7 linked regions of the Tribolium castaneum genome follow. The protein of the gene in region 4 interacts with the protein of the main gene of each other region in a pairwise test. Links are inferred from orthologs where the notes say so. Each region holds a gene or a part of one and is shown on either strand. Other genes may lie near its edges.

Region 1 (3,979 bases), on a different chromosome or scaffold from region 4:
ATTTTAGTTATTATTATAAGTTATTTTTTAAGCAAAGTGAAGTGAAGGTTCGTATCAAAGATATCAATTACCTTGAAAATGTCAACATTAACACTTCTTTCGATAGCCAAAAGAGATAATGAAGACAACCTTTCTTGGCCAATCTTCCTAGTGTTCGTTTTCAACCGCCGCAAGCGAGAAAAAGACCTCTCACAAGATGTTGTGTTTATTGGAATCGCAAAAAATAAACATATAAAGGTCAAAAAGTAGAGGGAACATACTTTTCATAGCCCTTCAACAAAAATGTCGGCTCTTTCTTGGATAATTTTGTTTTTTCATTCTTCCATATTACAAATAATGTTGAGCTGAACAATTTTGGATGGCAATTGCCACCCCCAAATTACGCACTGCCCCAGGTAGTCTTAGCTGGGACAAAATTGTCTCAAAATTGGCGAATTATTCCGAGTTCAGAGCGTTGTAGAGTTCCGTAGCTTAAATGTATGAGAAGACACAAAATGAAGATTTACTTTGAATTGCGTTTTCTTCAAACGCGGGCTAAAAATTTTAGTGTTTATTGTTATTTATGGTGTTCTTAGATGATTGTAGAAAATAATAATTTAAAACTAATTAAAAAATTGTGTAATTTTTTTAGAAAAAATATTTTATTCATTCAACTTGTTTAATTTTTCTTAAAAATGTAACAACAAATTACAAAAACTTAATTTTTTTACACCAAAATAAAGCTATTTTTTAAGAAATCGACAATCGTTTTACATTATTATTCTCAACAATCATCTTCACCATAAATAAGAATAAACACTTAAACTTTTAGTCCGTATTTGAAGAAAACGCAGTGCAAAGAGAAAGTGATCTTCAAACCAAAGTAATGGGGAAGCCCCGAATCTTCATTTGGTTTCTACATTTGGACTACTGAAGCGATTCTTTACTATCTTTACAATGCTCTGAACTCGAAATTCGCAAATTTTGAGACAGCTTGCATTGTAAAACAAAAACCAAAAAACCTCCACACAGCAAGCTAGTAGTTGGCATCACATCCGATTAAAAACTAGAGTTAATTAACAACGATTATTACTACATATTTCTATAATTAGTAATTAATTAAATAATAATATTGCAAAAAAATATATAAAATTCGGTTCAAGGAACAGTCGGCCACAAAAGACAGACAGCGCAAGGCATCGGTCCCCCACCACTTGTCACTTTGACAGCCGTGAATGTCAAATGCAAAAGAAAACAGATGATTATTCCTCAAACAACATAGTTCGTATTATTTATTTATTATTTCTCCAATAAAATGGACCCCGCCTTACTAAAAGAAAGAGAATTATTCAAAAAACGTGCACTTACAACTCCTACGTAAGTAGCATTCGCATTTTGTCAACTTATTCAGTTAATTTTGTTCTACTTTCAGTGTAGAAAGAAAAAAGACTGATTCAAGACCAGAACCAACTCGCGATGATAGCAAAAGGTTTAAGTCTTCTAGTAGTAGCACCCCTAAACTTGATATCAACACGTAAGCAGCAAAACATTGCAAATTTGAATCAATTACTTTGTGATTTTTTTTTAGATACAAAACAGCAACAGGAAGTTCGCAATATCGATTCGGTGTTCTCGCTAAAATCGTGAAACATATGAGGAAGAGACACCAAGAAGGTGAAACATATCCACTCACATTAGAGGAAATTTTAGACGAAACTAATCAATTAGACGTAGGGAATAAAGTCAAGCAAGTAATTTTGTGTCATTATTACAATACTTAAATGTAATGGTGTTGATTTAAGTGGCTGCAAACCGAAGCGTTAGTCGATAATCCTAAAATTGAGGTCACTCCTGACGGAAAATTTTTATTCAAAGCTCCATATAAACTTAAAGACAGGAAAAGCTTACTGAAACTATTGAAACAACAAGATTTGAAAGGGTTAGGCGGTGTGTTGTTAGACGACGTGCAAGAGTCGTTACCACACTGCGAAAAGGCTTTGAAGGTATCATTCTTTTAGTTATTTTCTAAACGAACGACGTACAAATAAAACGTCTCCGACTTCAATATTTTCGGTAATGTCGCCAAAAAGCCCAGTTGACTATTTAAATAACTATTAACACAATTCAAAAAAATACAGGCACATAGAGCATTAAATTTTCAAGAGTAACAACTAAAAATAATGCAAAAATTTCAAACATATTAATTTGCAGTGTGACCCATATTTTTAAAACGCTGTTAATTTGGTTAAAGATACAAGAAAAATGTTAGGAACAAAGTAGTAGAAAAATCAATTTTCTACAAAAAAGTCCGCGACTATTTTTCTTTACAACTTTGTTCTTCACACTTCTTTATACCTTTAAACGTATTCGCTATGTTTTAAAAATTATAACGCGGATTGCAAATTGATAATAAATGTTTATATTTTTTTGCACTTTTAATTTAAATTAAAAACTTAATACAGAAAGAGTCAGAGATTAAGATAGTGGAAACACTTTATTGAAAACAGTGTCAAAAAATCGCATATTTATATATATGAAAACGCTGCGAATTCAACTAAAGATGTGTAAGAAGCATAGATGTAGAGAATTAAATTTCCTACAAAAAAGTCCGCCACATCTTCATTGGTTTAGGTATAAATTAATTTTCCAATACTTGACCATAAAATGAAACGAAACCGCTGTGTGAGCATTTTTAAACATTTTTGGGGCCTAAATAGTTGAAGATGTAGATATGGGGTCGTATGAATAAAGTTGAAGTATTTACTTAAAGTATGAGTATAAAGGAAAAGCATTTGCTCTTGCTTTTACTTCTTTAGTTTTTTGGAGAATCTGCTCTCAAAATAAATCATTGTAGTGAAGTTTTCAATGTTGTAATTTTTAAAATGGATTTCCATCTCCTCCCATTTCGTTGTTCTCACTCAAAAAATACCTAGCCAAAGCACGAAGATTTTTTCGTTCAAACCGATATAAAGTCTTAAAATCTTATCCTATGTGTTCGCGAGGTTGTTTATAAGTTTTTCTTACCCATAGTTGCACAACACCCACCATTGTTTCGAGTTTGAGGTGTTACTTTTAAAAATTGATGCTCCTACTGATTAGCGTCAACAATTTTGAACTAAATCCTCAACGAAAAAAGCATTTACTTTGTTTTATTCATTTTGTTTTGAGTAAAACCTCGACGTTCAAGCAAATACTCGCCCAGTGTGCTTTTACTTTTAGTAAAAACTTATACTTACATTTTTACTCATACAATTTAGAACATTTACTTGCAAAATTTGAAGTAAAAGCATTTACTCAATTGTATTCATACGGCCCTTGGTTTCGCAGATTTTTTAATAGCTATTTATTGTATAAGTGTTTTCGAAAGCATTTTATCCACGCAAGAATGTTTAATATTCTCAAGTGGATAAAATGCGACTAAAACATGAATGCAATACAATGTTTTATCCACAATCGTAAAATTAATCTTGGCAGGCTTTGTCTGGTAGTCATAATTCCTAGTTTATTCCACTAGTGGATAATAGGTCACTATAAGGCTAAAGGGGACGACAGAGTTAAACCAAGTGTGTGGCAAAGACAAGTAGTAATGAAATTTATTTTTCTACTTTTGGCGATATTTGTAATCCAATTTTAAATCGAAAAATGGAATTGACTCTTTTAAATAATTATAATTTGAGACAACGTAAGACTTTGAAAAAAAATTATTTGATATTTTTTTATTAAAAGTTTAAACAAATATTCATAATATTTTTAAAAATGTGTACGGGAAAGATGCACAGTGATGGTACGAACAGAATGCGTCCAAAAAACGAAAAATTTTGTTGTAGTTTTGAACGAATCGCGAATATTCATTTTGACAAAATTTGCCGCCGAGAATCTCCCACAGTCAAGTGCGGGACAAGAGAAAGAGAGGGCAAAAGCAACTAAAGACTAGAAGATGTAAAACACGATATTTCTGTATCCTAGTATTATTCATACAAACAATTATGGTGTTAATTCT
Region 2 (4,090 bases), on a different chromosome or scaffold from region 4:
ACTGCGGTCGGGGCCCCGGCTCCGGCGTATACGTGAACGTCAACCCCGTGGCATAGATAATCCCGTCGTTCCGCACCAAGGAGACCGGGACCTGGGTCGGCTGCCGCACCCACAGCCACTCGCCCCGGAACTGCGAGATGTCCGGGACCACGCACAGCATGGACTCCTGGCACCGGTACATGGTCTCGGCCTCCACGTCCCCGAACCACACCTGCAGGGACGGCGAGAAGTTGTCGCCCGTGAGCTCCAGCATCGCCACTTCGCCGCCGCCGTTCAAGTGCAGGCTGTGCACGATGGGCACGGGGGTCACGGGGGAGCGCACGGGGCCCATGCCCTCGTAGAACTGGTACTCGGCCTTGTCGGTGGAGATGATGGTCCAGCAGGCGCCGTCGTTGATCATCTCCTTGTTGGGCTCTTTGGGGCAAGGGGTGGCCTGGAACTGGATGATGCGCTCTTGGGAGAGGCAGAGGTACATGCGTTCGGTGTCTTTCATGTAAAAGGCGCATTTGTGCAGCTGGGACACGGGGTCGTCGGCTTCGAGGAGCGCCTGCTGCTTGTCCACCTGGACCAAAACAACAAACGCTTTACAAAATTGAACCAAAAAACACAAACTACGAAACAAAAAAAGACGCCACAAAGAGAAGAGAACAATTATATTACAATACGTTAAAAATTTGCAATACGATGACCTGTACAAACGTAAAAAAGTGGAAAATAAAAAAAATACCGTCAGGAATTATAGGAAGTTTCAATCACAATTTTTTCAATTAATACTTGACCAAGTAAAGATAAATCGTAACTGGAGAACTGTCAAATTATACACAACTTAAATAATTCTAATAATAATGTAGCTGTATTTCAACGGGTTCCTTAAAGTGTAAGTAAGATAAAGAATAAATACAAGGTGTCTCAAAATCGGCGGATTCCAAGTCCTGCAGAGCGTAGTAGAGAATCACCAAATGTAGAAACAAAATAAAGATTTGGGGCTTCTTCTGACATTTTGGCGAGAAATTAGCTTTCTTTCTTTACGATATTTTCTGATGAGGTCGGTGAAAAAGAGTATTAAGAGTTTATTCGTAATTAGCGTAGGAAGACTAGGGAGAAATCTGATGTTGTCGAGAGGCATGTTATGCTTTTTAAAGGCATTAAAAATGATATGCGGACGAAATTATGACAAAAAAAAAAATCTTGAACATCCAGCATAAGAAAGTCAATGACGTGGTGAAATATTTAATTATTATTATGAGTATTAAGAAAGCACATTTGTAATTTTAATGGCTGAAAAAACATAATATTTTGTGTTTCTTGAAAATTACAATAGTTTGTATTATTTTAGTAGGTTTTTCTTTCCCCAAAATAGGCTTCGAATCGCCCGCGTGAGCGGCGAGTTTTGATAGGATGGGAACCGACATGTGTTCTCAAATGGGCCAATCACGGGCTGGGTCAACATTTGTATCGAAATATCGAATTTTGTGCAATGAATCATCTGGAAAATCATTATTTTGTCTGAATTCGGTCATGGTATGGCCGTAACTGCTTGCAGGGAGCGTTCCTTTGCGTAATTATGGGGAATATAAAGATTGACATGTTGCCGAATCATAACCTCAATTTTTTGTTGATGTTTTTTTCAAACGTACCTTTCGAATGATAAGTCTCGGGAGGGCCATTCCGGTGACAGAACACACCAGTTTGACTGTAGAACCGTAATGAATGTACCCATCCCGTACTTGAAACTCCTCACTTTCAGATTCATTGTCGTCTAACAAGTGTATAGTGAAAGCACCCCACTGTGTGGAACTGGCATGAAAATGTCCATTTTCCACGTGCAGATACCGCGTGGAGACAGTCTGAGATCTAAGTCTGTTAAAAAGCGCCACTTTGGTACCACTCGCAATACACAAATCCGCGTTTTTCAACGATTGTTTCTTCTTTGAAGGCTTCGAGATAACTTTGATTCTTTTGCTATGAAACACCCCGATGTCGTGCCCCGACCCGTAGAACATCTTCACGGACAACATAAAGTGTTTCCTCTTGTCCGAATCGGAGATGTAGAGAGTTTTCGCGGCACAATACTGCTTCCCATTATTCAAATCCAGCTGCTGCATGTCCTGGTCCGAGTTCCCAATCCCTATGAAAGCGCATAACTGCGAGGCCTGCTCGGACTCGCCCTCCCGCAGCATCTGCTCCTGGCGCAGCCTCCAGCCGTCCCCGAACAGATAAATGCAAGGGGGCGGACAGAAAAACCTCTTCTCATTCCCGTAGGACTTCTGCGCCACCTTGGCGTGCAAAATCACGATGACCATGTCGGACCGGTCCCGCAGATACCGCTCCATGGCCTCCCGGGTCAGCCGCCGGTCCTCGCCGCGGTAGCCCCCGGGCACCACCGCCCCCGAGAACCGCGAGTACATGGCCCCGTGCTGCGGCGGCGGCGTCGGGGGCGACTGAGCGTGGGCTATGCCCGGCAATCCGTACTGATGGGGCATTTCGAAACACTTAATCAAGTAGGCCGCATCGCACTGGCGTTTGTTTTATCGATGCACTCACAGCCAACTCTTCGCACGGCTACCGCAACACACGGTGAGAACAAATGCCATGCTTCCCCCTCCTTTGCCCCCCGTATCTCATTCGAAAAACACCTGTTTGGAGAGAGGATTTTCCGACAGGATGGCCAACTTTCAAAAGGCGAGTTTTCACAGGAAGTGCCCGAATTAACGCGTTCTTGGAATTTTTTAACGCTCAAGAGGGCCCAAGATGGGCTGATGGGTCTGCATGGGCCATGGGCGGGGCGGGCGGGGCGGGCGCGGCGGTCGCTGAAAATTATGTAATTTTGGTAGCGTTAAGGCGGGTTTACACCTAACACGCGTAAAACGGTAGTGGATGACACAACAGGGGCGGAGGCGAGACGCCACTGGAGGATTAATCCTAGTGAGGGATTTTCTACCTTGATACCTAATCTAATTGATCTAATTAGGTGCCAATTATTATTATAAATAATGTTTATTTCTAAAAAGAAGAAAACTAAAAAGTTCTAACAAAGATAGCAGTATTAGGAAGTTCGCGGCGCCGCTGCCTGACAAAAGAATGTGGTGGTTTTATTGGCGTTTGGGCGCACGCCACTGGCCGCGTGTTTATGAATGGGTCCCCTCCCTTGTGAAGGTGCCTTTAGCGCCGCCCCCCTGCCCTCCCGCAGGATGTTGGGGTTACAGCCAGGGCGTGGGAAAATCATGGTGTGGGAAAGAGTGGGTGGCCTCGGCGATTCTCAAACATTTGATACTGAGAGATGTAATTCAGACCGCTGGACGAGATTAGGTCTGTTTTCCTCTGATTTGATGATTCTTCGCATCTAAATCATGGGAACTGACTGACGTTCGTGTCGCGGTCGTTCATCGCCGCCTCAGACCGTGGGAATTTTTTCCATCAGACGCCTCGAATTATTTACCAGAAAATATATTATGGGAGTTCACGGTCTGTGGAGGCTCATCGAGCCTTCCGGCAAACCCGTGCCTCTGGAATCTCTCGAAAACAAAGTGTTAGCTGTCGGTATCCTTTATTGACATTTCAAACGTCACGCTTGATCGGTTATAACCTTAACGCAATCTGACAGATGTCTCGATTTGGTTGCACCAAATCGTCAAGGGGTTCCAGGACGCCAAGGGGGCCGCCGTCCCCCATGCGCACCTGCTGGGGATCTACCACAGAGTATGCAAATTACTCTATTTCAGAATCAAGCCGGTGTTTGTCTTCGACGGAGGCGTCCCAGTTCTCAAAAGACAAACCATAGTGAGTAAAATAATGAGAAAAAAACATAACCTCAGTTGCATTTTCCCGCAAATTCCCAGGCGTTACGCAACCAGCAAAAGTCCAAAACCTTGTCCGAGGCGGACCGCATCCACAAAAACCTCCTATCAGCCTTAGTCAAACACACCGCGATTAGCAAAGTCTTGTCCGAAAAAGCCAAAGCGGCAATAACCGCCTCAACTTCTCCCACTAAAAAATCAAAACAAGACGATGACGAGCTTTACGCCTTGCCCCCGTCCCAGTCTCTCGACTCCACATTGTCACAAAGTGACTCGGATTCGGAAGACTCGGG
Region 3 (4,300 bases), about 1.5 Mb from region 4:
GTGCCGCTTCCAACTTCTCTTCCATCCTTTCAACATACTCTTCAGTTGGTTTCTCGTTATCAGATTGCTTCTTCTTCGAATCCTCATCTTCAGACTCACTTTCGCTGCTTTCAGCCCGTGCTAGTTTCTCTCTAGCTTCAGCTAGTTCACCCCCTAGCTTAATCACGTGTCTGTTCATTTTTTTAATAGTCAGATGTAAAATTTCCCACAAGTACATTTTGGTGAATTCGGCCGTCATCTCTTTGGAAAAAATCCAATTAGCGACCGCTGAACACTCGACAATTTGAATTTTCAACATTTTGTCAACTAAAACGACCATCATTTGTTGGTGGTGGTGCCACAATTCGAACATGTTTCGTAAAACGCAAATTTGAGCTTCCTCCGACTCTGCTAAAATCTATCAAAAAAAAAGTGATTTAAGACACAAATGTTCAAGCCTGAGTACCTTAAAAACGTAAAGAAACTTGGAAATCGCTGCAAAACTGTGCGAGAAGCTCTTCGACCCTAAGTTGAGTAGAGTTTGCACAAAAACGTCGATTTTGAGAGGATTAAATCTGCTATCAGTCTCTTCTTCTGAACGGGGGTTTGGGAGGTCCTTAAGCACCCCTAGGACCTCCTCGGGGGTGCACTTCTGACGTATTGACACCACCAATTGATGGGCAGCCGTAGTACCCGGAAGTGACGCTAAAACACGATTTGTTATGCATGACAAAAAATTTCATAATTTTGGTTTCGCCACGACGGAAGCTGGATTTTTTCACAACTCCTCATAATCCTCCGTTCCACTTTAAATAAATGAATTATTCAAAAAAACAATCCGTTTAATACAACAAAATTGTTTTCCGCAAACCGAAACGGAAAAGAAAAATTAATAATAGCGGAAGACCACCGACCAGAAAATCCAATATTGTTGCAAGTAATCATAACGGAAACGTTCGTTTTTTCTCGAACGCATATAATCGTATCCCTTTCTTACGCAAGCTGCAATGTATAGCTATTTTCTCGTGTTAATTGGTCAAATTCACGCACGTTTTACTTTCGGACTTTTTCCTTTAAATTACAAGAATCACTTCATACCGTGACCATTATGTCAAATTTGCTCATTGTGATGATTGTTTCAAACAATTGTAATCTTCATCGTGTAACATGCACTTTCGTTATTGTTTTTCGTTTCGAAATCTCCAAGCGTAAAGATGCGACTTTGCGATATCGCCGCTGACTTAAAATCGGTTCTTTTCAGAGCAATTAAGTTCAAGGTGAAACTGAAGATTCGTGAGCAAAATTACGAATTAAAAGAAAAAAATAAGAACGATCGTAAACATCTCTGGTTTCATAACGCGGAGATTAAATCAAAGGTAATGAATTTGTGCAATAAAAATGAAAATATTCTACCTCAAGTACTGAATTTTACGCAAATAGGGTCTTAGGTAACACCACAAGGTTTCAATTAGCCACGCTTTTCGGTGAAAATAAAATTTCTCTATTTTCCTTCGAGTAACATAAAGAAAAAAAATGTTTTTGCAGAAATTAAATCAACAAAAATCCACCATCAAAGAAGAAGGTAAAAAATAAATTAAATTAAAAGTGCGAGTCCATTATTTATCGTAATGAAAATGCAATTATCAAGATGTTGCGACAATACAAATTCATCATAGAATTGCCAATAAAACCTTGCTAATAAATTTTTAATTAAAAAATCTCACTTCGGACAATACTTTTTCCGAAGGTTTAATTTTAACAAACCCATCACTCTTAATAAAAATTTCAAAACTTCATTGTTAATGAGAGTCATTTTAGTTAATTACTGTCGTGCCAAATTAACTTGTCCGAAAATAATAATTCGGGTTTTTTCTTAAAACCCCGAGATAATTATCTTGGCATGTGTCTAAATTAAGTAATATAATATGCACATTGCACACACAAGAAAAAAATAATTAATATTCATCAGTGCGCAGAAAAGTAGACAATGTATTAGCAATTATGTCGAAAGCTTCTAGGATCATCGGTGGGGTACTCTTCAATCTCTCTAAGTAAAAAGATTTAGTTGTAAGAAACCGAGCGAACTAGTGACATGTGCAGCTTTCAAACATTTGCAAACACCCAGTGGGTCTAAAATGGGACACTTCGAAATAATCTTCATTTTACTCTTGGTAATTTTACCACGACTAACAATCCCATTCAAGTCCAAGGTTATTAAAAAATGAAAACTCTCATTTTCAGACTCTCCAACTATGGGAAACTGTATCAATCACTCGACCCGTGCGAAACTTTCATCCTCCCACCGACTGGGAATTGGGGCTGCGTGAGTCCGTGCATCAGGCCCTCCTCCGGGAACACTACACCGACCCGGGGCTCCGCGACCGCCTCCTGGCAGCCCCTTTTATCAACCGACAGGACGACGCAAGTCCTTTCGGAGACATCGCCGTTCTGGCACGAGGACAACTCTACATAACCCCTGAAGGTTTCAAATTTGTTCAAGACGTGGACTGTGATTGTCAAAGATGCCTCACGTCGCCCCAATGCCAGTGGAAAACCTTCGGTCACCATAAACTACTCGCACTGTGGACGGTGAAGCGGATAAGACATCGGGACCCCCATTATGGGCACGTGTACGAAATCGAGTACACGATTTCGCCCATCACGCACACCATCAGCGAGGATTTGGTCAAAAGACATGGGTTTTTTAACTATAACGTCCCGGGACACATTTTCGTGATTAAGAGCGATCCGGGTGTGAACACAGTTGGACAAAAAGAGTGGTTCAAGAAAGAGGAAGATCATGGACACTACAAACCCGGAATTTTAATACAAATGACCCCGGATGGGTACAAACACGTGTTGCACAGTTTTCCCGGATTTTTCACTTCATACCACGACCAAACAACAATCGATCCAAAAGAATACGAACTGTACAAAAAATTGATCGAGTCATTGGCGGCGAAAACATCAAGTGGGCCTCACCGATTCTCAGTTACGACTCCTACGACTACGACTTTTGTCGTAAGTGAAGGACAATTAATCCCGATTACGACTTTACCGACCCAAAGTTATACAAAGTCGCCGAAACCCATCACAACCATTCATTATTACACTCCGGTTGAGACAACAACGGAAAAACAAGACGAGAGTTTTGATATTTTTTCGGAGGCGTTACGCACAACTACTACGAAAAAAATTACGACAAGTGAAGAACGAGTTAATTTGTTCCCGGTTAGTCCAACCGAACCGATGAAACCGGTTACGGAAGTTCCGAAACACACACGACCGGATTCAATCAGTGAACAACTTCCAGCCCCTGATCGAAACGTTGAAACTACAATTCCGTACGTTACCACGACTCAACCTTCGGTTAGGAAAGAAGAAAGTACCACAATTGAAAAAGTACCGTATACAGAGCAGAAAACTACAATTATTGGGCCCTTTACGACCGAGAGGGTTAAAAGTACTACGTTTTATACCACTGTACCGAAAAGTAGTACGGTGATTGAGGCGGTACCCGTTAGGACTTTACACACTTCAACCAGTCCCAAAACCACTTCGACTAGCCCCAAAACAACTACTATAATAGAAGCAGTTCCCGTCAGAACTCTGCACACGTCAACCACTTTTCTACCATCGTCTAGCCCCAAGACTAGTAGTTATGAAACCACAGTAATAGAAGCAGTACCCGTTCGAACTTTACGACCTACAACTGGTCATGATACCACTTTTTCCACATCATCCAGCCCCAAAACCACCAGTTATGGAACCACTGTGATAGAAGCAGTGCCAGTCAGAACTTTGCACACTTCAACCAATCAAGGCACTACTTTTCTACCACCGTCTAGCCCCAAAACTAGTTACAGAACGACTCTAGTAGAAGAAGTACCAGTTAGAACGCTACACACTTCAAGTAGTCCTAAAACTACTACCACAATCCAAACAATACCCACTACAACTCCATATGGTTCAACTACTATAGTAGAAGCTGTACCAGTCACAACCCTGCAAGGTTCTACTATCATAGAGGCGGTACCTATCACAACTCCATACCTGTCAACTAGTTATGGTACGACTGTAGTAGAGGCGGTACCCACTACAACTCACCCGAAAAATACGTACGAGACAATAGCAAAAACACCCAGTTATGAAACCACTATACCAGAGATAGTACCTACGACCACTCGGAGTCGAACGAGTTATGGTACCACTTTAGGAGAACCCGAATCTGTGACAACCCACCCTAAACCCACCACAGTCACGGAATTTTATTTCGAATCAAAGCCAAAAACAACAGTAACGCAACAAAAATTCACAATCC
Region 4 (4,300 bases):
GCTAATACCTTGGTGGAAGAAACAAGCAAATGTTTTTGGTGCGGTCCGTAGCGAGCAAAATACAAAAGGGGGTGTAACTGACTGGGCCACGGTAATACGTCATCGCTCATCCGGACTGAGTCCGGCACAATTCGGGACAAGTCCGGGACTCCGGCGCGGTAGACGAAGGAATTATCATGTGAATGAGGAAATATACAGAGTGGAACGCTCTCAAAGTCTTATACGAAAAATAAGGAAGCGCTCATATTGAATGGCACTTTTTGAACAGGCGAGGGTCGGCCCCTTGTACCTGACGGACCCCTCTGGTTAAATTATGAAAGTGGATGAGGGCGCCATCTGAGTGACGTGCCCAACACTATGGGATCATGTTACAGTTGCCAATTTTTTTTAGTCAGGAAAAATTTGAAAAATTTTGGTACTTTTCCCATTTCCGTCCTGTTATGTTAATAAAATGAAATAAAATAAAAGAACGTTGTAGCTTTATGCAAATTTTGCGAATTTATGATGTTGTTATAGAAGATTGAACTTTGACATACGAGTTTCTCTAATAAATAAAATCCGTCGGAATCATCTCCGAACACGCTTTTAATCGTCCTCCCTGTATAGCGCGATAACATAAGTGTAGTAGATCGTGCGTTGGCGGCAATAGCGCTAATAAATCAAACTATAAATAAAAACAATTTAAGCAATCGGCGGCCCGTGAAAACCACAGCCGCTTCTTCAATCAATAATTCTTCAGCGACGTTGTAGTAATTTCGAAAAGATATACCTTTGAACATTAGAGTTCGCCATCAACTCATTACTCTCCAGCGTATGAATAGAGCGTCTCGCAATAACGACCGAACGAAATTTTTTGTCGGCTCGTTAGCGATGTCCTCCCGAAATATGAAACGACCTTAACCAAATTATATTCCATTGACCCAAGACTTGAGAATTACGAACGCCGAACTCAAAACACGGATTATTTTGGTCAAAGCGGACGATTTTTTTACGGGAATATAGGACGTGCTCATTTCAAAGGCGTCTAGACGGCCAAATAGGCGAACAGCTGATCGTCCCTCGTGCTCTGACAAGGACCCGATTTGTTCGACGAGGACGAGAACAGAGAAATTCGACTGAGGGACAGAGATGTGGCAATTCAACCCTGATTTTACACGCACTTGACTTCGCTGCAGGTTCAACATTTACATAACTTTGAGGTGCGGACATCGCGCGCACGGGCCAAAGGGCAACAATTAGCACAAAAAATTTTGTTTATTCAAATTTATTTTATTTTGCAATAGATAATTAAGTAGTTCCAGCGGCAATAAATAAGGCACAAATTATGAATGACAAATCATTGAAAAAATAAACAAAATTTATGGTGTTGTACGTCGGCAACTTTAACATTCCCAAATAAATTACTAATTTAACGTACTTTACTATCGACTGAAATTATATAAAATTTTAATTTTAGAAAATAGAGGAAGCAGACGACGAAGATGAATCACAAATAATAAAATAAAACGGTTCGTCATATTGTGCCAAGAAATTTATTTTTGAATCAAAGAATACCCACCAGAAATTTAGGAAAAATAGATACAGATAAATAATTTATTTAATCATTAATATAAATCATTTTCCGGACGACTAGAAAGATATTCAGTTAAAAAATCGTTTACAAACTTACTAAAAATCTGTTTTTCGGCAAAACTATTTAGAACATTTATTATGTAAAAAGTTCGTTTCTTAATTAATTATTATTAACTATTATTTTTTTAATGGAGATATAAATAAAAAAAGTCGTAACTAAACATACTGTCTTTAAATATAACTAGTTAATAAAATCGTAACTTGAACCGTGGTGGTCCAAAAAGTAGGTACAATAAAAACCCGGAAACAAACAGTTTGCTCGAAATTTTTAAAAAAATCTCCCGCCAAAAAAATTTATTCTTGACTTTTGATTCGCACTATGTGTTTAGAAACGACTATTATTTTCACGTTTGGTATTTTGAAATGACATTTTTTTAGTGTCACAGCAATGAATGAAACATTTTTGGTTTGTGCTTTTGAAATGTTACAGTGTGGTGCACGTTTGAACGGCGTGCGATTCGGCCGGAGTTAGCGCGTTTCCTGCAAATAGCGTCCGCAGCAGGAGTCCGTAGGCTTAGACCTATCACCAACCTGCAATGGCCATCCAGGGGTAAAACGTGTGGTTGGTCTGCTGGTGTATCTGCGTGCCAACGGGCTGCGAAGAGGTCGAGTTGATACTGCAGGGGTTATTCCACGAGAGCGAGTTGCCCGTCCGTCCTGCGGCCGCCCCCGGACTCGAGGCCGGATCTCCGCCGACGAGCCCGACCGACCCGTAGCCAACCCTGGAGTCCGGCGTGCATGCCGCCGGCCTGACCGGCCCCGTCAAACTGTTCGTGAGATTAGCGCCACCGCCAGAAGTCGCACTTTGCCAAACGTCCTTGACCGCGGCCGCCGCCACCACCGAGGCGTATCCGTTCTGGTCGGCGTTGCCTTTGGAGCAGTCCGGCTTCGAGTTGGAGGAGTAGTTGGAGTTCTGCTGGCCCTCGGAGGAGTAGAGCTTGCAGGCGGCCGCCACCGAGGCGTCGTACGGCGAGTCCTGCGGGGGCCGCGCCTGCAGGTGGTGGTGGTGGTGCTGGCTGGAGGCGTACGGGGACATGCCGAGCGACAGCGGGAAGGAGCGGTAGGCCGCCGCCGCCGCCGCCGACTGCTCGTGGTGGTGGCCCGCCACCGACCCGCTCTGGTGGTGGTGGCTGCCGTAGAAGCCGCTCTGCTCGAAGTAAGAGTTCATGCTGGGGGCGGCACAAGTCACTCGACACCGGAACCGGACATGACAGTCACACGATTATTATTATTGTTATTAGCGAGAGTGATAAGGTGATAAGAGCTCGCACGAGCACACCACACAGCAGCTCGCTCCGGAATGCACACGTTGGCTACTTTGCTCGCGGATGGGAACCCACTGGAGCTCCGGAGTCTGCTCCGGCCCACACATCCCGGCCCATCGCTCCCCTCTCCCCCCACTCCGGACGAGCACGCGGCTCATTATTGCAGCTACCTGTATTGTCGGCCGATCGGACACGGTCGCACCTAATTAGCGCCTGACCGGCTTCTCCAAAGGCTAGGTTTCCTCCAGAAGGGTCGCGAAGGCCGTAATAACCCCTAGAGCACGTGCTTCTACACGAAGACGCTCTAATGGAAGGGATCATACATGAACCAATAGCAATTGAATTCGTCACAGCCTTCAAGCATTGCGCAAGTGGCCCCCAACGAGACGAAGAGGGGAGGCGCGTGGCGCCAGCTCTCGGACAATTGCTCAACCTTTCAAAACGACACTCTTGCCGAAACGAGCAACATCAATTGCCAATAAAAGATAAAACGACCATCACACCACCAATATAAACAAAATCATCGAAAAGTAAACGCTACATTTAAAATACTCTGATTCCGCTGCCAAACCCTCAATATATTCACCGTTAAAGTACAAAAAGGAAAGCTTATTTTATTTATTATTTTTTTGCATTCTGCATCACAATTTTAATGTCTATTTGGTTTGTTAAAACAATTAAATTCACAATTTCTAAAAACAGTACGTAATTTTATATTAATATTCAACTAAAACAGTAAGATTTATTGACGACGGGTAGATAAGATCTTGTTCTGTAACTTTTCATCGCACTTGATTTTTTAGGCAACAAATCAGACTCCAACCGCTAAACAAGTTAAAATCAAAGAAACACTCCATTTTTTTAAATGTTTTTAGGCTGTATAAAGAGCGGTATGCATTCAGCCCTTTGTTACTGCTTCAGGTACCTATTAAAACATTCTCGCTTTTTTGACTTCATCTTACACTGTACCATGTCGGTATAAAAACCAAAGCTAAAGTTAATTGTTGCTCATTTTCGAGTAAGGGTTTTAATATACTACCTTAATGTACCTACTTTTCTGTGTTCCCAAAATACAATAAACTTAAATTGCATTTGAATGAATGTGCTTTTGTAAATTTTACTGCCCGAAAAACATTCAAACTAATAAAACTAAATTATTTTGGACCGTTTTTTCTTCGTGCACATACCTAATCCAAATCAAATCTCATCGAAAAATACTCGTACCCCATTCCAAACGGATTAATTAGTTCAAAAAAATTATAGAAGTGTCTCTACTGGAATTATTCTAACTACAAAAATCTCCCAACAATAGTAGATCTAGGATCTAGGTATGTATAAATATTTTCTTCAAACAAATAAAAACAAATAATAATGTAATAAATTTCTATTCAGTAAACAGTAAA
Region 5 (3,500 bases), on a different chromosome or scaffold from region 4:
AGTTCTACCCTGTTCATGAAATTGTTTAAATATGATAAGAATTAAAACACAATGTTAACACTACACCTTTGACGTTACATAAAACGGCAATAGTAGCAGCAGCACTCACAACAAAATAAAAAACAAATAATATACCAACACTTTTATTAATAAAAAAGAAAACGGTACATGACGATTTATTTTGTACAATCACATTTAGATATTTTTGTAAACGACAACCATAACACATCAGTCAAAAATCAGCATTGTGTTTTAGCTCTTTGATAATAATCAGACAGCATAAAATGTATTTTTTTATTTTAAACAAATCAGACTCAATATTATACAACCGAAACTTATACACGTATATGATATTTTATACATACTTGCTAATAAATTATAAATAGGTACACTATAGTATTTTAACAACGAAACTTCCTAGTGTCGCATTTGGGATTATCAAGAAAAATAAAATGAAAATGTCTAATTTCATCAAACAAAAGACATCGAGGAAGGTATTATAAATCGGTATCGTACCATGCTGCAACTTGATTGTTGTCTTGGGGAGGTGCAGGTAATTGATTAATTGGGTCAAAGTTGATGTCGGGGTCGCCATTGGCTACATCCATGGCTTCAATCTGGCTGTACGTCGACCCGTTCCCGCCAGCGTGCGACCCAATCTCTAGCCCTTGCATATCTATTGGTATCTGGTCATACCCTAGCGAAACCACAAAATCAGTACAATTTCCATAACATCCAAAGAGCATGCGTTCAACCAAACAACTGCATGCAAAATTATTACCCATATGTTAGCTGACTTGTCTGTTATTGTCTCGCTTTCGGTGATTAGTGTTTTTAGTGAATTAGTGTGAAATGTGCGTGTCAATTACCTTGCTGTTGGTACGGCCGTCCACCGTGATTGCTGTGCACACTAGGGGGTCCTTGGGCATACATTGTATCATATGCTTGGTCAGGACTCAAAATGTCCTAGAATGATCAGTGACAAAATGCAAACAAAACAAAAATTGCCAAAAGTCAGGCTTCAAGCAAACCAAAAAAAAAACAGTAAATTCTACGACCAGTGAACTTACCTTTAAATTTTGAAAAAGCAATAACAAAACAAAAAAATACCTGTAAATCAGGATCGATGCCCAGATCCGGATTCCACAAATTCTCCTCCCGGAACAGCGAATTTGTCAGTTCCATACTGAGCCGTTTTTTGTAGTCTTGTGGCTTGTCCTCGCTCATCCTAAATAATACTGCGGCAGCGTACGTAGCCACCCCTTCAATAATTTACAATTAAAATTCAACAATTAGGAAAAAGTATGTATGAACCTTCGTTTCGGGAATGAAGCAATTCGGTTAGTGGCGATGTGGCGCCCTCTTGCTCGATCATTTCCGCCCCTTCTTTATCAGCCGCCAATTCGCACAACACCCCAGCTGCCACACGTTGGATATTTTCAATATCGTTAAAAAGCAACTGAACAAATATTGGTATAACCATTTGTTGGCGTATAATGGCCCTGTTGTGGGATTCCCGAGCCAATATGTGCAACGCCCCCACTGTCCCTTCGACGATCTCCTCCATTCGTACGCCATCGGCGTAACTCGAGGCTTGCTGGCTGCCGCCGCTCGCCACACTCGACCTCTGTTAAAAAAAAAACAACTTGATACATACCCTAATACGGTGCTAAACAGTTAATTAATACAAATTAATTTCACATCTTTAGGGTGTATAAAGCGATAAGTACCCACATGGGCGGAGCCTAATTACGCACAAAACCGAGAAGAGACGAAGAGTAGTCACAAAATAACTTTGTATTAAGGGCAGTCTGCTCCTGGCAAAAATTTGATTTGGACACTTTTTGAATTAAAATATATTTTTTGATATTTATCATAATTCAAGACAGCATCCAGTACCTTATTTACGCAGTTTTAAAAGGGCGCTAGATAATTTCACCAAAAAAATAAAAATGTGACACGATGTTATTAAAAAAAACTGCTTTTGAATTTAGATTTAGACAACATTTTTCTTCTAAATGGACTAAAATCAAACTAATTTTTTATACGAACTGAAAATCCAAAACTGTATGGCGCTTAACTATTTTTAATGTTTATAAAAAATATTTATTTAGTTGTCAAAGTAAATGTAAACAAATAAAAATATCTGAATTTGCTGAACGTAACATAATGTAATGAATATTATACCCAGTTCGTATCTTCAAAAGTTGTACAATTTCTGAAAAATTGACTATTTTGTGAGTGTAAAAATGTAAAATCTACCAAGGTGTTTCAATTAAAAAAAATATGCACTATTGTTTTTCAGTTTTTTTAAACAGGAAAAAATGTTTTGTGTAAATAAAACTAATGACAACCTACATTTTTCTACTGTTTTGCATAATATATACACTTTTAGTTTTCCAAAAATAACTAAAAAAAATAAAGAAAAACAGCAAACAAAATTACTCAAAAAATAATAACGACGTCATAAATGTGGCTATGTTTATTCCAAACAGTAAAATATAGGTATTAAGTTTATGAAGACTTATTCGCCATGACATACATGTTAGGATATGAACATGTATACACTGCTTTTTTTAATTTTTATAAGAAAAATCTATATTATCTAACATTATTTATAAATTTTTTGTATTTGTAAAACTTGGGCCAATCAAACGGAAACTGGGCTCATACATGTTCTTAATCCTTAATGTTACTAAGAAATTTAGATGGTTCACAATGGAACATCTAGAATTTCCAAGTTACCAACAATTTTAAATTTTCTATTTTGCTAAAAAGTTTATATCGTCTATCAAAGGGTCTTTAAGACGTTTAAGTGAATTACCAGTATTAAAATTAATAATTGTTTATTAAGTATGTCGTTTGCCCGAATGGAGCAGCTAATAAAATTTTCTCGAAAACTTTAGTGTCACTATCTTCTATCTTAATTTATTTGTCGTCTATCAATTTGGACGTTGCGACTGAATTTTTAAAACCTTGGACCTTATGATATCGGCTTCCGATTTACAACATGCGTTTTGATATAGAAACTGTGTTTTCATCACTGTTTTATTTTCGTTAAGTTAAGACTTTTCATGACCCAACAGCCCTTAGACCTAAAAACCGAAAAAATGTATTCCTGGTTATCGGTAAGAGCAAATCTAAGGGGCATATTTGAAATCTCATCGGAGAGTTAGACTACCCTTAATAAACATAATAGTTTTGTTTAATTCAGAATGTTATTGGAGAGTTTTTGGCTCTCACAAGCTCAAACACCCAATAATAAAACGAATTTGTTTCTCATTTAATCCGAAAAGGTAGTTATGTTATGGCTAATGTGTAACCTTGGCTAGTTAGTAAACTAGCCAAAATTCTTGGCTAATTTACTTGACAGATAGAATGAAAATTTACCTTCCAAGAAGAAAAACTATTCAACATAGTTGATGCTAAAATTAACTTCTATAACACCCTAAGATTCTAACTGTAAGTTAGAGGCTTCATTAATTGTAATGAAAAAATTA
Region 6 (4,145 bases), on a different chromosome or scaffold from region 4:
GGCTAGCGTGAAACGTTTCCCCTACTCGTGTGTTCAGCTCGTAGTAGCTGATACTGCACCAAAAAGCGGGTTCACAGTAAAGTACAGGCTGCGCGTCCACGGGAGGACTAGGCGTTATCCTGGACATGCTCATGTTATCGTTAGGATCAATCGGATCACCATCTTCGGACATATAACCAGGTGGAGGAGTTTCAGTAGGTGGGGCAGCATTGTGGGGAGATTCCATATTTGCAGGAGCGCCATTCGGGCAAATACCAACCGCATCCATGTAACCCCCAGAATGTTGCATATGCAAACTGAAATTGCCCACCAAATTAAAAGTTTCAGCAAAAGAGGGAAAAAATACCCTAGACTATTTGGATTGTGAGGAAATGACGTGTTTTCGGGCACAGACGTGCTGAGGTCTTCCAGCGAATGCGGAAACAAGTTGTTTTCGTCGCTGAGTGGATGGCGGGGGACTAAAATGGCTGGGAGGGCTGTTGAGGAAATAAAATCAATTTTTAATAGACTAAATTGAATCGCTTCAATTTATGAATAAATGTGCCAATAAACACCCAAAAACATTAATAAAACCTGTTTCTCTTCCTTATTTTTTCAGACCGGATGTTACAAAATAATCGAATTTGCATAATTCCGTGTTGCTGATTAGTGAAATGAAATAAAAACAAACATACATGACATGTCAAGGTTAAGCGATAACTTATTAAAAATTACAAAATTACTTCATCTAAAAATGCAATTCTTTATAATTACAATGACGGTAAAAGTTTAACAAAAATAAGAATGGTAAAGAAATCAGAATCCGAGTGAAACGTTTTCAACATAACAGCATACAAAGAGCTCCATTTTTAAAAAAAAATACGGTCGATGGTGGTTTTTGGTGCAATTTTTAGCTAAGAATTTAAATATAAAATTTAATAGGCTATTGTTATGTAGAAAATCGTGATAAGTTCCAAAATATACATTACGTAGTCCCAAACCGTTCAAATGCCTAAATCAATAATTCAAATGCTTAATTCATTTAGGTTTACGAACTGTATTTTACGATTTCCACCATATTTTTACTTTTACAAACTTTTTACAAACGGTGCAACCTCTAAAACATCTTTACAAATAAGCACATGCAATGTCTCTACATTATTTTTAACAGACTTGCTAACGTAGATAGTACGGATTTTTTTTCGTAACATAAATAGTTCAAGCAAAAACGCTTGGTTCCATACTTTTGTCAGACGCTATATCATGTATTCGTAAAGCAAAACCATATCCTGTTGCAGTGCTCAAATTGCTAAAGAAAAAAAACATACTTGCTGTAAAAAGTTAAACACTTTGTACAAAAAGATACAGTGAAATTAATAATAAATGTGTGTTTATGTAGAAAAGTTTTAACATAATTATCAAGCGAATTTATTTAAAATAAAAAATATACTGAAAAATATCGAATTGTTAAACAAAATTAAAAGTTTCCAGTCAAAATATAAGCACATTTTAATTTTAATAAGCACATCTAGCTGCTAATCGCTGATAAAACGAAGTCATAACACGACTTTAATAAATGCCAAATTATAGTAATTATTACTACTTATTTATACTCTATCTTTGGTAAAAGAATACAAATGCAAACGTAGTTCAACATTTCCACCTAGAAAGCTGTTTTAAGAAATAAGATACTGTTAACTTATCTACCTGTTGCGCATATACATAAATTAATTATTGTTTCGAAATTATACATAAAATCTAAACAGTCTTTTGAATAAATATTTAATTATTTGAAGGATTTATTACGAATTTATGGAACTGCCGGGTTTCTACAAGCTTGTTTTCTCTTCAAATTTGAAACTGTTAAGTGCATTAGTTTTTGTAAATCTGGAAAACTCTGGACATAACATAAATAATACCTGGGCTTTCAATTCTAGTATAGTGGTATGGATTGACACAGACTTCCTCCTTTTTTAAATTGTACGCGTATTCGCAGTTTTCGAGAGGTCTGAGTTCATGGTGCGATTGCAGCTCAGGCCATCTCCACAGCCGGCAGTAAATAACGTGGGGCAAACCCTTCCTCTGTTGCTGGACGTTGCCTAATTCAGCAGCCGGCCGAACTCTACAAATGATCAATAAATCAGCGCCAATGATGCAAGTTAAAAATAATAAAAGTAATTTCAACTGCTATGTGCGCGAGATTTGAGCGAATTATGAGGGACAGGAAGCTGGAATTAAAATTGCGCAATTTGGGCAACAGTGGTGTGAGAACGGGCCCAACCAGCACATTTTGCAGACATTTAGGGTAGGTCGCAAGCCAGACGTGGTGCGGTGAGGGGATCTAAACAAATCCATAATACCTATGACCTTAAACTTGGTGCATGAGCAGACTGCGAGGCCCAAAACTCACCTAGGAATTGTGACGCATTTCGTATTATGATTCTGTGACGAAATCGCTCGTTCTAGCTCCTCCAAAGCGCCCGATTTTTTCAGTTTCTTGACTAAACTCTTGACGGCCTTCTCACACCATCTGTCATCGGCGTCAGTGCCTTTTTTCCATCCCAGTAATCGCTTTACGACGGGCGGCGTGAACGACGGGAGCATCCCACTCATCACCATCAAACAACCACGAGTTACAAAAATTCACGCACACGGATATCACCAATTTTCACAGAGAAAACTTGCCAAAAATTTTACAAAAATTATTGCTTTACCACTGCCATATTGTTCTTTGACAGGCGGACGATGATTGTCGCTCCACGCGAAATAAGCACAGCCTCATTTGCGTCATCTGTCTTCTTTCCCCACATTTAAAAACTAACAAAAAAGGACGCACGTGTGTTGTGTTAACAATTTTTACGCATGCGCGCACACAAAACTATTCCAAACCAGTGGCGTCGCGAAAACGTGGTCCAAGACACTGTTTACATTCCTCGAATATTGCCTTAAAGACAAGGTTTTAAACCCAATAGCAACAGTTCAGTGACAAAAAGACAGTTTTTTTATATTCTTCCTAATCTAAAAATCATTTCTTTATTGAACCTATTATTTATAATCAAGATAAAATTACGAATTCGAATCTTTCAAAACTTAAAAGATCGAGTGAGATCAAAGAAGGCATTTAAATTTAAAATGTATTAAATCACCAGCGCAGCACTTGTGTAAGAAATAACAATTGTTGTTATTTCAACCCATTTAAATTGTAAAAATTATTAAAAATGCATAAATAAAAATATAAAAAACAAAAAAGAATCATTCCGTCACAGATTCCATTCATTTGTGGAGCCCCAGCGCTCTACTTTTCTCAGCTTGATGATCCTTCAGTGGCGTCGTTCGTTCAAATGTCATTTGACAGGTGACGTGTTTACTTTTTACGATAAGGTTATGTCCTAGCAAATTTATGGAAAAAATGTTAATGGTGTGCGTTATACATTAAAATTGAGCGTAAATAAGTGAGTATAAACACCGTTGCTTACAAAAAACGTTTTGACAAAATTCGGTCTTTGTAGAAATGGGTACGGCTGTTAGCAAAAATTTTGAATTGTCCACGAATGATTATTTACTTAAATTTGTAAGCACTCAAGCGATATCACAAAATGACCCCTTTTGGAACCGACTGGTGGCTTTCAACATTTCTCCACCTATGACAAGGTTTACTTACACCAAACGCTAGACGAAACACGACTGTTTGTTTTAGTAATGACCAGCTAGCGTTAGAGTCAAAAATTGAAAACCTTTGCCAACTGTTGCTGAAAAATAACCACACCTCAGGAAATTTGGGTTCAATTATTGACGTGTTCTTGTCCCGAGCTACCGAGCTTTTGACTGCCACCAACACCGACGCGTAATAACTTTCCATTTCGTTAACTTCTCCTCATAATTCTCGTTTTAGAAGCTTATTCATTTGGCAGTTATTTAACATTCTGTTCATTATTCGCTGCATTGTTAAGTTTCTTTGCGAAACCGTGACTGAGGAGCAGCTAATAGAGCAAATTGAAGTAAACGGCAATGGGACAAGACTTGAGACTTTCGTAGACGCTCTAGTTAAAGTTATCGTCGATGTTGAAGTTACAGATGCCACGTATGGCATACACCTCGAGGCCATTACCACACTTCTAGTATTTTTATCAGTGCAATTACATTCAGGGCGAAAGTCAGACCAAAGC
Region 7 (3,500 bases), on a different chromosome or scaffold from region 4:
CTTTCAACAAGCGGAAGTTCGGCGTGATGAAGAAAGCTTACGAACTCTCGGTTTTGTGTGACTGCGAGATCGCGCTTATCATCTTCAGCAGCAGCAACAAATTGTACCAGTACGCGAGTACGGACATGGACAAAGTGCTGCTGAAATACACCGAATACAACGAGCCCCATGAGTCTCTCACCAACAAAAATATTATCGAGGTACATCAAACCCAGCAGCAACTATGCCCGATACTTGGCTGATGCAAACACGATAACTGTGTTTATTTTACTGTTGATTTTTTTTTCGATTCGTACCTTTTTATTATTCACTGATAACTTTCGAAAACCTAACACGTTATTGTTTTGTTGTGCTTATTATTTACTAAGTTATCGAATCGCTGCATTTGCCTGTTATTTACGCGAGTTGTTGCTTCAGTTTTGAGACCCTAACTTGTAATGCTAGTTACGTGTGGTAGAGACTCTTTAACTAGAGGTGATTAGAACGTGTGGTGTGTGTATGATAGCCCCAGAGGCTGCGTTATTCCATGAGCTGGTCCACTGACACTTGCAGGCACTTAATAAGAAAGAGCATAAGAACGGAGTGATGAGTCCTGACAGTCCCGAGCCGGAGACGGAGTACCAGTTGACGCCGCGGACCGAGGCCAAGTACAGCAAAATCGACGAGGAATTTCAAATGATGCTTCAAAGAAACCAAATCAATGGACAGAGGGTACGTCTAGTTATTTGAATTGGTTTATTTCGCGTCGCGTCGTCTTGAACGTGAACTTAATGATTTTTTGTTTGGTTATAGGTTAGCATGAGCTCTTCGAATTATACGCAACCCGTATCGGTGCCTGTTAATATAAGTTATGGTGATTCTGGTCTTCTTCAATCTAGTCCGCAAATGGCTCATACTAGTATTAGTCCCCGACCGTCTTCTTCTGAAACAGATTCGGTTTATCCGAGCGGAGGAATGCCCGAGATGAGCAATGGTTATCCAAATTCAGCATCTCCAATGGATGGATCACCGTCCCCAGGACCAAGTCCAGGACCAGGTCTTAGTTCCTCAAAGCAGCATCCAAAACAACATTCACCCGGTCCGCGATCGAACCTCCGAGTCGTCATCCCTACGGCACTAGGACCAAGTATTACCCCGGAAGAAGTTTCATATGGAGAAGTAAGAATTTCTAAATTTGGGTCTTGACGACCGATTGTGTTTCCTTTGTTTGCTTTCCAGCACAATCGGACTCAATCGACTCTGAATACCCCCGTGGTGGCGCTGCAGACTCCCGGTTTGTCGAATTACCCCGGTACTTTGAGTTCGTTCGGCGCTCAGGATTTCAGTATGGGGGCCGATATGGGCTTGAGTTCAATATCCTGGAGCGGTCATCAGATTTCGACGTCTTTGACACACACAAGTAACTGCTTGCCGCATTTGGCAGTGTCGAGCAGCACACCACCGCCGTCGTCATCTTCACCGATACCTGTGAAAATAAAGAGTGAACCGATATCGCCTCCTCGAGAACATCATCCGCATCTGAGTGTGGGTGTCCACCATTCGCACGTACAGAGCTTGAACTTGACGCACAGTCACCATCCGAGGCCCAGTTCTGCCGGTCATATAACGCCGACTCCTGGAAGTGTCACGCCGACGAATTTGCCGTCGCCGACGGGGCCGCCAAGCGGGGGTGATTACGAGAATATTCAGATGCATAAGCGAGCAAGACTCTCAGACTGGCCATCCTAGACCGGCGGCGGCGGTGGCGGCGGCGGCGCACAAGACGCTAAGTGCCATAGTGATAACGTGTGGATAACCGAACGCGTTTCTATTGCCAATTGTCATCTATGTGATAAACTACGAGTCTAGTAAAACTGGATATTTTATGAAATTTGTAGTCATTTATCAGTGAAACATACATAAAAACGATTTTGTAGAGAGAAAGGGAGAGAGAGCGCAGCGCGAGAGAGGATCAGATTTATATAGAATGGGTTAGTGTGGTGAGTGTGTCGTGGTTGTTCCAGTCAGCGACAGCGTTATATGCTGGCGCCAACATTTGTTCTCAGAAACAAACATAATATATAGTGCCATTATTTTCTTGTAATTATTAGTGTCTTTTTTATAAATGTTTTTAGATAAATAGTATATTATTTATAATGTACACTTGTTAATTTAGCGAGGATGCAGCCACTAACAAACATATTGAGACTATGCAGGACACTACTCTTGTTATGTATTGGTGCTTTCCCCAACCTGATCGGATGTACTCTGTCCACTGGCTGTTGGTGCGGACGGCTTGACAGACGCCGCGGCGGCTCTGCTTCGCCGGATTGACGCTGGCCGTCGGTCCGTCCGTCCGTCCGCCCGTCAATGTTGAATGTACTGTATTTGTACTGCTTCCCCATTGGAACCTAGAGTGTTCATTGTTGTAGCCTTTTCAATTTGTTTGTGATTTCAGAGTACGATATCTATTCTGTATATTGACCTACACAAATTAAATTATATAATTATACATTATATAATATATAGATATATTTTATCTACTGTTGTGTGCACAAACCTTGCACATAGTTTTATAGTTTAAATGTCGGTTCGACCCGGCTGTCCGTCTTCGCACGGATGACCCTATCTCCACTGAACTACTGTAGGATTGCCTTACTCACAGTGCCTCGACAGTATGTACGTATCTATTTGTGTACTACACCATTGGATGTCTTCAGTAAAAGCCATCTTAAGTCCGAATGCGCTGCGGTACATTTTCGTCGATAATTCACAGGGTATTGCGCCGTTCTACACTCCACTCTGCTGACTGGCACGTGCTAGTGCTAGTGCTAGACAGCTGCCGCTGCTTGTGCCTTCTTGTTAACCTGGTACCTTTCCGAACCCCCAACTGGCTTCCGTGTCACTGCACTACTGTCTCTTCTGTATGTTATTCTTTATTTATGTCAATGTTTTGACATGTCAGTTGACACGATTTTATTTAGTCGTTTTATGTTAAGCGGAACATTACGCCTCATTTTTAAATGGACGAAATACCCAGCTACATTATGTAAATATAGTTATATTTTATTGTAGCGTTGCCAATATTTGTTGATCATTTTACACCTCATCTTTCATTTTACATTTACATCATAAGGCATTATATTACGTCCATTTGACATAGGCATTTTTCAATCATGTGCAATATTAATCTGACGTTTATTTATCTATGATGTATTGAATTAAACCAAATAAAAAATTGTTTGTTACAATTTTAAGCCTACATTTATTTAACAACACATCTACATCCATCTTATCATTCCATCAACACTATATTCAAAATTATTAGTGTGGCAGGTAAATAAAAAAATTGCTTTGTTGTGCATTGTTATGCATTATGACTAAAGGACCTAATTATTGTAAACGCATGCGCTTTTGCTTCTCACAAAAATTGTTAACTGTAATATGCCGACTTTCAATTTTTCAAAGGTGCGCAAACAACGAAATTAAAAATAATCAAACGATTCTTTGGTGTCTCAATC

Evidence for each region.
Region 1: the proteins of Ubx (region 4) and TfIIEbeta interact in a two-hybrid assay, tested with the Drosophila melanogaster proteins (2 studies listed by BioGRID, with this or other methods). The link is inferred for Tribolium castaneum from reciprocal best matches to the Drosophila melanogaster genes Ubx and TfIIEbeta.
Region 2: the proteins of Ubx (region 4) and Su(H) interact in a protein complementation assay, tested with the Drosophila melanogaster proteins (2 studies listed by BioGRID). The link is inferred for Tribolium castaneum from reciprocal best matches to the Drosophila melanogaster genes Ubx and Su(H).
Region 3: the proteins of Ubx (region 4) and Cbp80 interact in binary tests that used the Drosophila melanogaster proteins (3 or more experiments, as listed by UniProt). The link is inferred for Tribolium castaneum from reciprocal best matches to the Drosophila melanogaster genes Ubx and Cbp80.
Region 5: the proteins of Ubx (region 4) and armadillo segment polarity protein interact in a two-hybrid assay, tested with the Drosophila melanogaster proteins (2 studies listed by BioGRID). The link is inferred for Tribolium castaneum from reciprocal best matches to the Drosophila melanogaster genes Ubx and arm.
Region 6: the proteins of Ubx (region 4) and Smox interact in a two-hybrid assay, tested with the Drosophila melanogaster proteins (2 studies listed by BioGRID, with this or other methods). The link is inferred for Tribolium castaneum from reciprocal best matches to the Drosophila melanogaster genes Ubx and Smox.
Region 7: the proteins of Ubx (region 4) and Mef2 interact in a protein complementation assay, tested with the Drosophila melanogaster proteins (2 studies listed by BioGRID). The link is inferred for Tribolium castaneum from reciprocal best matches to the Drosophila melanogaster genes Ubx and Mef2.

What each region holds. Positions count from the first base shown.
Region 1 is NC_087396.1:10,271,664-10,275,642, reverse strand, and holds the start of TfIIEbeta (general transcription factor IIE subunit 2), read left to right. Parts: upstream 1-1,179; 5' UTR 1,180-1,294; coding exon 1,295-1,356; intron 1,357-1,411; coding exon 1,412-1,513; intron 1,514-1,567; coding exon 1,568-1,730; intron 1,731-1,781; coding exon 1,782-1,982; intron 1,983-3,979.
Region 2 is NC_087398.1:4,884,059-4,888,148, forward strand, and holds the start of Su(H) (suppressor of hairless protein), read right to left. Parts: upstream 2,801-4,090; 5' UTR 2,484-2,800; coding exon 1,638-2,483; intron 563-1,637; coding exon 1-562. Other genes in the region: DNA excision repair protein ERCC-5 homolog, read left to right, coding at 3,453-3,540, 3,605-3,780, 3,840-4,090. UniProt on the Drosophila melanogaster protein: Transcriptional regulator that plays a central role in Notch signaling, a signaling pathway involved in cell-cell communication that regulates a broad spectrum of cell-fate determinations.
Region 3 is NC_087397.1:5,580,077-5,584,376, reverse strand, and holds part of Cbp80 (nuclear cap-binding protein subunit 1), read right to left. Parts: coding exon of another isoform or gene 2,221-4,300; intron 2,151-2,220; coding exon of another isoform or gene 2,115-2,150; exon of another isoform or gene 2,001-2,114; intron 685-2,000; coding exon 446-684; intron 398-445; coding exon 1-397. Other genes in the region: mucin-2-like, read left to right, coding at 2,115-2,150, 2,221-4,300. UniProt on the Drosophila melanogaster protein: Component of the cap-binding complex (CBC), which binds cotranscriptionally to the 5'-cap of pre-mRNAs and is involved in various processes such as pre-mRNA splicing and RNA-mediated gene silencing (RNAi).
Region 4 is NC_087397.1:7,100,887-7,105,186, forward strand, and holds the start of Ubx (ultrabithorax), read right to left. Parts: upstream 2,801-4,300; coding exon 2,164-2,800; intron 1-2,163. UniProt on the Drosophila melanogaster protein: Sequence-specific transcription factor which is part of a developmental regulatory system that provides cells with specific positional identities on the anterior-posterior axis. Binds the consensus region 5'-TTAAT[GT][GA]-3'.
Region 5 is NC_087395.1:16,182,140-16,185,639, reverse strand, and holds part of armadillo segment polarity protein, read right to left. Parts: intron 1,628-3,500; coding exon 1,315-1,627; intron 1,263-1,314; coding exon 1,111-1,262; intron 967-1,110; coding exon 870-966; intron 698-869; coding exon 498-697; 3' UTR 1-497. UniProt on the Drosophila melanogaster protein: Isoform neural may associate with CadN and participate in the transmission of developmental information. Can associate with alpha-catenin.
Region 6 is NC_087396.1:11,007,065-11,011,209, reverse strand, and holds the start of Smox (mothers against decapentaplegic homolog 3), read right to left. Parts: upstream 2,801-4,145; 5' UTR 2,599-2,800; coding exon 2,390-2,598; intron 2,102-2,389; coding exon 1,899-2,101; intron 477-1,898; coding exon 347-476; intron 297-346; coding exon 1-296. Other genes in the region: dymeclin, read left to right, coding at 3,491-3,630, 3,677-3,823, 3,872-4,145.
Region 7 is NC_087403.1:6,203,276-6,206,775, reverse strand, and holds the end of Mef2 (myocyte-specific enhancer factor 2), read left to right. Parts: coding exon 1-200; intron 201-552; coding exon 553-711; intron 712-792; coding exon 793-1,158; intron 1,159-1,218; coding exon 1,219-1,728; 3' UTR 1,729-3,230; downstream 3,231-3,500. UniProt on the Drosophila melanogaster protein: Transcription factor that could be a key player in early mesoderm differentiation and may be required for subsequent cell fate specifications within the somatic and visceral/heart mesodermal layers.